3 linked regions of the Rattus norvegicus genome follow. The main gene of each other region encodes a partner of the protein of the gene in region 3 in a complex. Links are inferred from orthologs where the notes say so. Each region holds a gene or a part of one and is shown on either strand. Other genes may lie near its edges.

Region 1 (3,644 bases), about 63 Mb from region 3:
CCCCCGCACCCGCAGCACCTGCCTCTCCCCGGCTTGTTCCAGCTGCACCCGCCCCTGGCTTGCCAGGCGCTCCCCGTCCTTGTACCAGCGCACAGGGCCCCCTGGCCTGGAGAGGTGCACCACCAGCTCTAGGTCCCCGCCTGGGGTGCTTCGAACCCTCGTCTGGGCTGCCTCGGGGGCCACTACCCGCACCGGGGGCTCTGTGGGGTCAGAGCTAGGGGTCACTGGGAGGGCAATGAGAAGGACAGGGAGACAGGCTGGGGAAACGGGGCAAGGGAAAGATATGATGTCTTAGGAAGTGGGGGAGCCCTGGATATGGGGACTACGAAGGCTTTCTGCCCAGGCTGTACTCACCAGCCACCTGGACATTGAAGCTGAGGCTTGGGGCCCCAGGGGCTGTCCCAGACTGGCAGGTGTAGACACCTGTGTGAGCTAGGTCTGCAGCCTGGATGCAGAGGATTCGGCGAGGACCCTCAGCTCGAAGCTCTAGTCCTTCACCCTGCTTCACAGGGTTCCCATTATGGCTCCAGGACACGTGTGCGCTTGCTCGGGACAGCTCACAGCTCAGCATCACTGGCTCCCCAGGAACCACGCAGAGCGGGTTTGGGACTGCCTCTGGAGCCAGAAACTGCACTGGAAGCTCTGTACGAGGAAAGGGGGTCGTAAGCCCAAGCCAGCCCCTTCCTCCCCACCCCAGGCTGGCCCAGCACACCCACCAGCCAGGCTGACGTTGAAGGTGACAGCCTCATCTCGGGTCTCACATACATACTCCCCGGCATCCTCAGGCTGGGCGTGGGGCAGGGTGAGAGTGCGGGCGGGCCCCTCCGCACCCAGCTGCAGTGCATCTGACACTTCTACCTCTAGCCCATCCTTGTACCAGCGCACCTGAGACCCAGCCGGGGCCACTTCACAGCGTAGCTCCACGTGTCCTGGAGCCCCAAACTGCAAATCCAGGGATCGGGCCACTGGGTGCACAATTCTCTCTGGTGGAGCTGGTGGGTGGGCAGAAAAGGGCATACGGTTTTGACTGATGCCCTCTCCCTACCTCTCCAATACACTTTATGGTAAAGACCTGAGGGGCTTCTATGAAAAAAAAGGACTTGTAGACAGACTTATACCCAAATTTATCCATTCACCTCTCCTTAGATCCACCACCCCCAAAAAGCTTTTGGTACCTCCAAAAATGTTTGGTGACCCCCAAAAAACTACTTACCCAAAAATTTTGGTACCCCCCAAAAAGATCCATCCACACTTCCTTCCTTTCTATGCTTTGCCTCTGACAGCTACTGCTCCTCCATAAACCATCCATTTTTCCTTTTTTCTTTTTTTTAATTTTTAAAAATTTAAAAAATTTTTTATTTTTTTTAAATTTTTTTTGCCTCACTACCACTTCCCAACATGAGTTCCACGAACACTGAAACTTGTAGCTCACTGGTTCACTTTGTACCTCAGCGTCTAGGATGGTGCCAAGCATACGCTAGTTGTTAGATAAGCATTTGCTGAATGAATGAATGAATGAATGAATGAATGATCCTAACTGCTAGGCTCCCTCTCACCAGGCCTGTGGACACTGTCCCGGGTTGAACTGAGTTCTCTGATGACTAAGACTGAGGAGTCTGGTAGGCAGAGGCATGGGGGAAGGGAAACGGGGGGAGTAGGGAGAGTAGATGTAAGTCCTATAGCACCCCGTCTCTTTACCTCCCTGGAGGTGTCTGCGGAAACTACCCACCTGTGACAGTGACAGTGAAGAAGGCTGAATCATCCCCAGCATCACACACAAACTCGCCCCCGTCCTCCGGCTGGGCCGCAGGCAACACCAGGCGGCGACGAGGCCCATCACTCTGGAGCACCAGGGCCTCCGTCTCCTCCACCTCTAGCCCGTCCTTGTACCATCGTACAGGAGCGTCCACTCGGGACAGCTCACATGTGAGCACCACACATTCCAGACTCACAGCATGTAAGGTCACCTCATCCTGGGGGTATATGATCCGCACAGGGGGCTCTGCAGAACACGGCAAGCACAACTGTCAACTAGCATGACCGCGCAGAGCATGGGGCCCCTGCTGGCCCGTGTTAATAACGGCCCTGCATTCTGAGTAATAAGTAACAGTAAGTTCCTGGTCTGTCCCTGAAATCCTCAAGACCAGTCATCTACAGAACCCAGAATCTTCTGGACTTTCCTCATTTGGTAGATACCTTCAGGTCCTGCCTCTGCCTCTTATAACTACTCCCATTGACATTTTTGCTGTCTAATATATTTACCCTCAGCAAGATATACTAAAAGATACAGTCAAGTCTCACAGAGATACAGATATACTAGCCCTGCCAGATAATTAAAGAATAATTAAGTATGCATCAGTTAAACTCAGTTTTAGTGAAATAAATTTTAACTGCCAAACTTCTGATCTCACTACATAGCCCCGACTGGTCTGAAACTTACTATGTAGACCAGGATAGTCTGGAAAACACAGAGAATCACCTGCCTCTATCTCCTGAGGGTTGGGATTAAAAGTGTAAACCATCATAGCGGACGACTATTGAACTTTTAAGAAGCCTTTTGGTTATGAGGGCTTGGGGGCTTTCAAAACTGTGCAGGGGTGGAACCAGGATCTGTAAAAAACAAACACTTCCTAATGCTCCAGTCGTAGTTCTGAGCACTGTTGAGCCTCACACTGATGTCTGGAGGAAAGCACTATGCTGTCTCCATTTTCCAGATGAAAGAACTGAGTCATGAAATGATTAAGCAATGGATTGCCCTTAAGGTCCGGGACAGCTACAGCTCCTGGAGCAGGAGAGGGAGCATTCTGTCCTAGGCAGGCTTCCTGCTGCAGGTGGGGGAGAGGGGGTATCCAAGCCTCCTAAGCAACTAGGGACTGAATCCTTGTATACCAAAGTTGTTAAGACCTGTCTAAAGTTTCCCAGGGATGCTACACTGTTTCAGGGAGCTTGTACTCAGGGGCAGATCACTCTTCCACAGAAAAGGAGCTAAGTCAGTATTATTAGACCCTCAGCAAGCCCAAGCTTGCCTGTCCATAATACCACCCCCTCTTGCTCTCCTACAAATAGTTTCCAGAAGACTAGCGTACACCTGGCCCCCTTGTGGTCAGGCAAGGGAACTGCTGGCTTTCCTGCCTAAGATTTTTCAGTTCTTGGCCAAACCCGGCCAAACCCAGCCACACAGTACACTTGAGCTCAGAAACAGCCATGTCTTGTGGAGACAAGACGGCGTTTTTTTTTTCAAAATGTCTGATCCAGTCATGACAAGGCCAGAGGATTACAGAAGGCAGCTTCTTCTGTATGGAATGACTGTGGCAGAGGTTGGGGCAGTGAGATGGGGGGAAAGATATAACTACAGAAGCCATTGGGTGTGGTGGGACTTGATCCACTCAGGCCTGGAGGTGAGGTGGCATTTGTGTGAACTTTACAGTGAGGCAGCCTATGGTGCTTTGGTTGTGGTTGTGATGTCTGGTCAGGGCTGGGAACTAGAGAAGGAGTCTTGTTGCAATTGTGGACTCCATCTGGGGTATAGTGAGTGGAAATCCCTAAGCAGCTCATCCTGGGCATGGCTCCTTGGGCAAGTCAGGAAAGAAGGCAAGAGGACTGTGAAGAATAGGGTAGCTGTCCTTGTGCTACCACTGGGGTTC
Region 2 (4,109 bases), on a different chromosome or scaffold from region 3:
CTAAATCTTTTTAAAAAAGAGAAAGATTTGCTTTAAAAATATTTATGTGCATTGGTGTTTTGATGTATATCAGTGTGAGAGTGTTGGATTCCCTATAAGTGGAGTTACAGATGGTTGTGAGCTATTATGTGGGTGCTGGAAACTGAACCCAGGTCCTCGGAGAGAGCAGCCAGTGCTCTTAACCAAGGAGCCGACTCTTCAGCCCCAAGAAAAGATTTTATTTTAAAAACGTTTTCATCGTGTGTGAATTTATATGTGTATAATCTGTGTGTAGGGGTGCACATGTGGAGACTGAATAATAACTTTATAGAGTTGGTTTTATGTGGATGCTGGGATTAAATTCAGGCCATGAGGCTTGCATGTTTTTACCGAGTTATCTTTTTTGTTCTTTTTTTTTTTTTTTTTTTTCGGAGCTGGGGACCGAACCCAGGGCCTTGCGCTTCCTAGGTAAGCGCTCTACCACTGAGCTAAATCCCCAACCCCATTTTACCGAGTTATCTTGTGGGCCCCCTTTTTATGTGCATGAATGTATTCTCTGTGCACACACGCAAATCACGTATGTAAGTGCACACAGAGATCGGAAGAGGGTGTTGGATCCCCTGGAACTGGAAATACAGAGGGTTGTGAGCCATCATATGGGTTCTGGGAGTCAAATCCAGGTTAAGGGGTTGCAAGGGCAACCCATGCTCCTAACCATTGAGCCACCTCTCTGGTTCCATCGCCTTAATTTTAAACGGACATTCATAATTGCAATGGCCTTCAAAGGATTTGGGACATCGGCACCCACACCTCTTGGGCTTTTGGGTCAAGGATGGCAGGTTGGGACCCCCGTTGCCTTTCGGGAAGGATGATGACGTGGGTCTTGGCTGTAGCTAAGAGAAGCCCTGGCCCCAGTGAGGCTCTGAGGGACAGCCACACCTCTGTGGGGGAGGAGAGGGAGGCTGCCCTGAAGGGAGTGGACAGCCCCGCTGCCAGTCTTCCCAGGCTTAGAGTGTAAGATGAGAAGGAGAAGGTGGGCCTCACCCAGGAGGGGAGGGCGCCCAGAAACTTCCTGCCGCTCTCAGCTCCACCGCAGACTGAGCGCAAGGTCAGTTTGGAGAGGGTGGCGGCCTGCCTGGGGGCGGGAGACCCTCCTCGGGGCTGGGCGGAGGCCTTTAAGCGCCTCGCCATATTGAACGGCCACGCTGAGCCATCTTTGTCTGCAGAGTCCTCCCACGAACTTTCAACTTCATCCCGGTGTCTGGGGCAAGGGAGCAGCGATCGGAGCTCGTGCGTTTCCAACTTGGAGCAGGGACACTGGCGATTCCAGTTTGGACTGAGCTTTGAGCCTCGGGACTAAGCGTGCCTCGGTTCATGTAAGCATCCTGGAAAACTCCTTGATACAACTCCGAGGGGGTTGGGGGAACCCAACTTGGACTTGTCGCCTGAAGAGAAAATTACAGGGAGGCGACACTGCGTGAGCAGAGTTGCTGGGACCCTCCACTGCTCCCTCCCCAAGACTAGAAGCCGAGAGAGCCTGGGCTTCTTGCCCCCAACTCGGGAGTCCACACTGGAGATCTTAAAGACTCTCGAGAAAAGCCACGTGGGGGGATGGTTCCCCTGGGGCTTCCTCCCCTCTCCCGATTGCCTGATCCTCTGGAGTGTCCCCGACGTCTGCAAAGATGTCGATCTGGATGTGTTAGTGGAGGCCTTAAGGCCTGTGGGCACCTTCAAGAAGATCGGGAAGGTGTTCCGCAAAGAGGAGGACTCCACGGTGGGGATGCTGCAGATTGGGGAGGATGTTGACTATCTGCTCATCCCCCGGGAGGTCCGGCTGGCTGGGGGCGTGTGGAGAGTCATCTCCAAGCCTGCCACTAAGGAGGCTGTGTTTCGGGAGCGGCTGATCCAGTTTCTGCAGGAGGAGGGCCGCACCCTGGAAGATGTGGCTCGTATCATCGAAAAGAGTACTCCACATCCACCCCAGCCCCCCAAAAAAGCCAAGGTGCCCAGAGTGAGGAGAGTCCCGCAGATGGTCACTCCTCCACTTCGGCTGGTTGTAGGCACTTACGACAGCAGCAATGGCAGCGATAGCGAGTTGAGTGACTTCGATACATCCAAAGTCAAAGGCAACAGGGGCTCCGGGAAGACCAGGAAGGTGCGCAAAATGCCGGTCAGTTACTTGGGCAGCAAATTCCTGGGCAGCGATGAGAGCGAGGATGATCAGGAGCTGGTAGAGGCCTTCCTCCGCCGCGGGGAGAAGAAGCCCAGCGCGCCTCCTCCACGGCGCCGAGTCAATCTTCCAGTGCCCATGTTTGAGAATAACCTGGGGCCCCAGCCATCCAAGGGGGACAGATGGCGGGAGTATGTCAGCCAGGTGTCCTGGGGGAAGCTGAAACAGAGGGTGAAAGGCTGGGCGCCCAGATCAGGCTCCGAGGTGGGCCAGGCCCAGCAGTCCTCCATAGCTGAGAGGGCTGGAGAAATGAGACACAGCCACACCAGCCCAGACCTGGATGATAGCTCCAGAAACACAGGAGACCTGAGCGACCAGACACTGATTACTAGACGCTGGAAGCCCAAGATCAAGTGGGTCTCCTTGAGACGATGCAGGAAGGAGCAGGTGCCACCCTCGGCTCACGGGACAGCTGAAGAGCCCCCAGAGGCTGCAGAAAACCAGGGAGCAGGGGCTGCAGCTGAACATGGGGTAGAGGCTGCAGCTAGCCAGAGGCCAGAGGCTGCAGCTAGTCCAAGAGCAGAGGCTGCAGCTAATCCAAGAGCAGAGGCTACAGCTAATCCAAGAGCAGAGGCTGCAGCTAATCCAAGAGCAGAGGCTGCAGCTAGTCCAAGAGCAGAGGCTGCAGCTAATCCAAGAGCAGAGGCTGCAGCTAATCCAAGAGCAGAGGCTACAGCTAATCCAAGAGCAGAGGCTGCAGCTAATCCAAGAGCAGAGGCTACAGCTAATCCAAGAGCAGAGGCTGCAGTTAATCCAAGAACAGAGGCTGCAGCTAATCCAAGAGCAGAGGCTGCAGTTAATCCAAGAGCAGAGGCTACAGCTAGTCCAGGGGCAGAGGCTGCAGCTAGTCCAAAGGCAGAGGCTGCAGCTAGTCCAAGGGCAGAGGCTGAAGTTAACCAGAAGACAGAGGCTACAGCTAGTCCAAGGGCAGAGACTGCAGCTAGTCCAAGGGTAGAGGCTGCAGCTAGTCTAAGGGTAGAGGCTGCAGCTAGTCCAAGGGCAGAGGCTACAGTTAGTCCAAGGGCAGAGGCTGTAGCTACTCCAAGAGCAGAGACTGCTGCTAGTGCAAGGATAGAAGCTGCAGCTAATCTCAGGGCAGGAGTTCTACCTGACCAGAGGGCAGAAGCCATAGATAGTCAGAGGGCAGAGGGCCCAGTTAACCAAAGCACTGGTGCTACAGAAAATCAGAGGGTGGAGGTCCTAGCTGACCAGAGGGCAGGGGTCCTCCATGACCAGAGGGAGGAGGCTGGACCTCAAGCTATACTGGAAGCCTCAGCTGATTCGGGATCTAGAGCCCGGAAACAGGTAAAGACAGTGAGGTTCCAGACCCCAGGACGCTTCTCCTGGTTTCACATGCGCAGGAAAGCTTTCTGGCACACTCCCAGGTTGCCAACCCTGCCCAAGAGAGGCCCCAGGGCAGGGGCGGGAGAGGCTAGGAGCCTCAGGGTGCTAAGGGCTGACACCAGAGCAGACATGGAACACAGAGAGCAAGAAGAACAGCTGTAAGGGAAGCCCAGTGCCCCGGCACCCTGCCTGCACCCTGCCTGCGTGGTGTTAGCTGCTAGGATACTTCTCTCCTCTGTGGGCTGCCTCTTCCTCCACATTTGAAAATGGAGGCTGCAGGGGCAGGCAGCACTGACCACACCTTTCCTCCCCTTTCCACACTCATTCTCTACTTTCTTCTCTTCTGTCCCTCCCTGCCTCCTTCTCTCTCCTCTCTTTTTCTTTCCTTCTCTGTCTCTATATCTTTATTTGAGACAGAGTCTTGCTATGCAGCCCTGATGGCCAGGTGCTCCATATATAATTGGTCTTAAACTCACAGGAGTCCTCCACCTTAGTGCCCAGAGCATGAGGTTACAGGTGTGTGACACTACATCTGGCTCAGTGACCCTCTTTCTGT
Region 3 (3,644 bases):
AGGCGGTGTAGGAAAAAGATTAGTTCCTGGAGCACCTGAGCGGGGATGTCAATCAAGGGGACAGTGAAGAAAGGGGCAAGCCTCGGCTACATGGATAGCTGTGGTGACTCATGCCCACTCTGTGCTGGGAGCCGAGCAAGGCAGTGTGTGGAAGTAATATAAAAACCAGGTGCAGTTAGAGAAACAAGGTCAAACCTATGGGAAGAGCCTGCTTGCCCTCTGGGGCTCTTAGCCACCAAGTATGTGGGGAACAGGTAGAGGATCCTCAGTTCTTGGACTCAGCTGTGGCTCCCAGGAGCCAGCTGCAGGATTGGTGTTGAGATGTGTAGGCCCCCAGCCCAGACACTTAATGAGGGCTAGAAGGGAAGAGAAGGCCTGAACTTCTCTCTGGTCTAGCTTGGCAACTGAAGGCATCGACTTGAGATACTCATTAACACCATACATTTGACCCTTCTGAGGCCTCCTGTACCCAGGACCTCTTATAGAAAAGTCTGCTCCCTCACTCCCTCTCTGAAAAGATTTCGTAAAGTTATTTAAATCTTATGTGAGAGTATTTGCCTGCCATTACACCGTGTGTGCATGTGACTAGAAAGAGGTGTCTACCTCCTCCCTAGAACGAGTTACAGATGGTTGCGAGCTGTCCGGTGGGTGCTGAGAACTAAATCTGGGTCCTCTACAAGAGCAGCGAGGCTGCTCCCCTTCCTCCTGAAGGCCTGGCTGAAGCCCGCCGAGCTCATTTCTATACGCTTAAGGAAGCAGGGGACAGACTATAGATTAATACAGTGGGTTACCAGCAAGGACGCTCAGACAATGAGAATCAGGTAAGAGCCAGAATTCTCAAGGACTACCTTGTGCCATTTTGACTTGTGAACTTTTCTGAATATTACCTATTTAAAAAACATAAGATTTTCATTTTAAAGGCAAGAACACAAAGACTCTGTTGCATCCTCCAAGCCTCACCCGGGGGTCTGCCTCACTGGGGTCCTCCCACCGCCCAGCATCTCCCCAGAGTGGGACAGGGCTACCTCTCGGTCAGTATTGGGGGACCGAAGGCAGGTCATACAGGCATCCATGGCTTCATGCCAGGGAAGCAGCAGTGCCTCAGGGAAGTTCACCAGCTGCATCAAGATTCTAGGGGGAGAGACAGAAACGGGAAGGTAGAGAGATAATCAGGTTGGTGTGAGGCCTTCCTGTGCCCAGCCCTGCCCCTCACTGCTCTCCCACCTCAGCGCAGTCAGGTGCAGGGCCTTGTTGCTGGCTGGAGTGTCCAGACTCCGCATGAGTGTGAGGAAGGGCTGGGGCTCCTCCTGCAGCTGCAGCAGGCATGGCTTGACCTCATTTTCCTGGGGAGCCTCAGAGCTGAGGGCTCGCTCCAGGTCCACAAGGAGCTTCCCAGATGGGCCCAAGCCCTCCACCAGTTGCCGCAGGGCAGGGCTGGCACTCTGAGATGGGGGATCTTGGGCTGGAGGAACAAGAGTGGGGTAAGAATTGGCAGTACCTGTGTCAGGCAGCTCGTGACCCACTGCAACTCCAGCTCCAGCCATCTGACAGTCTCACTGGCCTACTTGGGGTATCTGCATTCACACGCACGAACCCACATACAGACACATAATTAGAAATAAAATCTTCTAGAAACAATAACTGAACACAGTGGTTCATGCCTGTGGTTCATACATATGGTGGAGACAGCAAGGACCAGGGCAGCAGGAGAACTTGCCCCCCCCCCCCCCCAAAAAAAAAAGAAGAAAAGAAAGAGAGATAGAGGAAAGAAAGGAGGAAGAAAAAGTGTGGCGGATGGGTCTACAGAGATGGGTCAAGATTAAGAACACTTGTTTTTCCAGAGGCTCCAGGTTCAATCGCCAGCATCCACTTGGCAGCTCACAACTAATTAGAACCTCAACTCCAGGAGAGCCGACGCCCTCTTCTGGCCTCTGTGGGCACTGCATGGACGTAATAGACACACAATACCCATACGAATAAAATAAAATAAAAATTTTTTTTTGGCTTGGTACTTTTTTTTTTTTGGTTCTTTTTTTCGGAGCTGGGGACCGAACCCAGGGCCTTGCGCTTCCTAGGCAAGCGCTCTACCACTGAGCTAAATCCCCAACCCCGGCTTGGTACTTTTGAGACAGGGTTTCTGTGTAGCCCTGGCTGTCCTGGAATTTGCTCTATAGAGCAGGCTGGCTTCAAACTCAGATATCTGTGTGGGCCACCACACTCAGCTAAAATAAAATCAATTTAAATAAAAGATAAATGACAGCTGAGGAACGACATCTGTAATTGTCTTCGGGTCTAGACACACAGGTACGCACGCGCGCGCACGCACACGCACTCACGTGGACGCACATATAAAGTTTCTGGGACTGTGGGTAGGGTATCTCTTTCAGACAGGACAGCACACTGTTAGAGGAGACCCCCCTGTGACGACACTCTCCCGAAGGCAGGTGTCTCTGCTGCTGTCTGCGGGACACTCACCTTCAGCGCCAGCCTCATCTTCAGAGTCCGTTTCGATCCGGAATAGGTTAAGCTGGTCATCTAGCACAAACGGGCGGTTTCGCTTCCCTACCAGGACTTCGGGGCCGTACTTCCGGTACACATAGCAGTTGAACAGGTCCCTCAAAGCGCTGTCATCAAGTTGTTGAGGCAGAGACAGCATCAGGTCCTGAGCCAACTCAACAGGTACAGTCAGCTCGGGCAGGATCTCAAAGTCCAGAACATGCTGTGGGAAGAAAGTCAGCCCGTAGCAGCTGAACGAGCAGATGGTGAGAGGTCCTCTGGGGGAATGGGGAATCTCCACACACATCCACCATTCTGAACCTCTGGTAGCTGACAGCCCACCAACACTTGCATCTTTGAACTTCCCAGACTCCTCCACTGTGGGCCCCTGATGCTATCTGACCTCCACGTCCCCTCCCGAGCTTTGCAAATGTTCCAGTCCAGACCTGTAGGGGGCGCCTCTGAGGAGTGCCTACCTCCCCCTCCAGGAACTCCTGAAGGAGCTCCACCACGTGCTGCCGTTCCTCTGCGTTTAACTTCTTGATGAAGAAGAAGAGCTCCCACCACTCGGCCTGGGTCAAGTGCTCTCTCTCTTCCCTGTCTTCCTCCTCGGGCACCACGTAAGGCTCGGCAAAGAGCTGAGCTATGGGCTTCCAGTGCTGGAATGGCGGGGCTGTGAAAACGGGGCGTGCCAACGGCCAAGTCACTGCCTGCCCAGGTAGGCCTCTGCTTCTCGGCTCAGAGCCAACCCCTCCCCGAGCTCACCTACACCCAGTCCTCCATGGACCATTGCCCCCTGGTCATCAATGTCAACCACATCCTCAATGTCTTCCTCAAAGCCCAAGATCTCAAGCATGTGCCAGTGTACCCAGTAGGTATGGCCTGTCGAATCCCACAACACCTGGAGGATTGGAGCGCGGGAAGAGGGAAGGAGAAGAGGATTTGCTATTAATCAGCTGAGGCCCAACGCTGGGGCTCATGGTCTATAAGGTGACCAAATAGCAACACTGGCTATAGAATATATAGAATGCATAGACGACAGTGTATATACAGACAGCCCCACCCTCTCTTCAGCAATGGCCTCTACTTCCTTTATTCTAGTTCTGTTTTTACTCTCTTTCAGACGGGGGTCCCAGACTGGCCTCAAC

Evidence for each region.
Region 1: Cul7 (region 3) and Obsl1 share a complex: the UniProt entries of both Homo sapiens proteins name them as parts of the 3M complex. The link is inferred for Rattus norvegicus from reciprocal best matches to the Homo sapiens genes CUL7 and OBSL1.
Region 2: Cul7 (region 3) and Ccdc8 share a complex: the UniProt entries of both Homo sapiens proteins name them as parts of the 3M complex. The link is inferred for Rattus norvegicus from reciprocal best matches to the Homo sapiens genes CUL7 and CCDC8.

Annotation. Positions count from the first base shown.
Region 1 is NC_086027.1:84,428,828-84,432,471, forward strand, and holds part of Obsl1 (obscurin-like protein 1), read right to left. Parts: intron 2,003-3,644; coding exon 1,730-2,002; intron 993-1,729; coding exon 717-992; intron 643-716; coding exon 355-642; intron 201-354; coding exon of another isoform or gene 1-200. UniProt on the Homo sapiens protein: Core component of the 3M complex, a complex required to regulate microtubule dynamics and genome integrity. It is unclear how the 3M complex regulates microtubules, it could act by controlling the level of a microtubule stabilizer.
Region 2 is NC_086019.1:86,806,353-86,810,461, forward strand, and holds the start of Ccdc8 (coiled-coil domain-containing protein 8), read left to right. Parts: upstream 1-1,254; 5' UTR 1,255-1,759; coding exon 1,760-3,715; 3' UTR 3,716-4,109. UniProt on the Homo sapiens protein: Core component of the 3M complex, a complex required to regulate microtubule dynamics and genome integrity. It is unclear how the 3M complex regulates microtubules, it could act by controlling the level of a microtubule stabilizer.
Region 3 is NC_086027.1:21,823,756-21,827,399, forward strand, and holds part of Cul7 (cullin 7), read right to left. Parts: intron 3,398-3,644; coding exon 3,262-3,397; intron 3,170-3,261; coding exon 2,973-3,169; intron 2,720-2,972; coding exon 2,476-2,719; intron 1,463-2,475; coding exon 1,225-1,462; intron 1,132-1,224; coding exon 1,026-1,131; intron 36-1,025; coding exon 1-35. UniProt on the Homo sapiens protein: Core component of the 3M and Cul7-RING(FBXW8) complexes, which mediate the ubiquitination and subsequent proteasomal degradation of target proteins. Core component of the 3M complex, a complex required to regulate microtubule dynamics and genome integrity.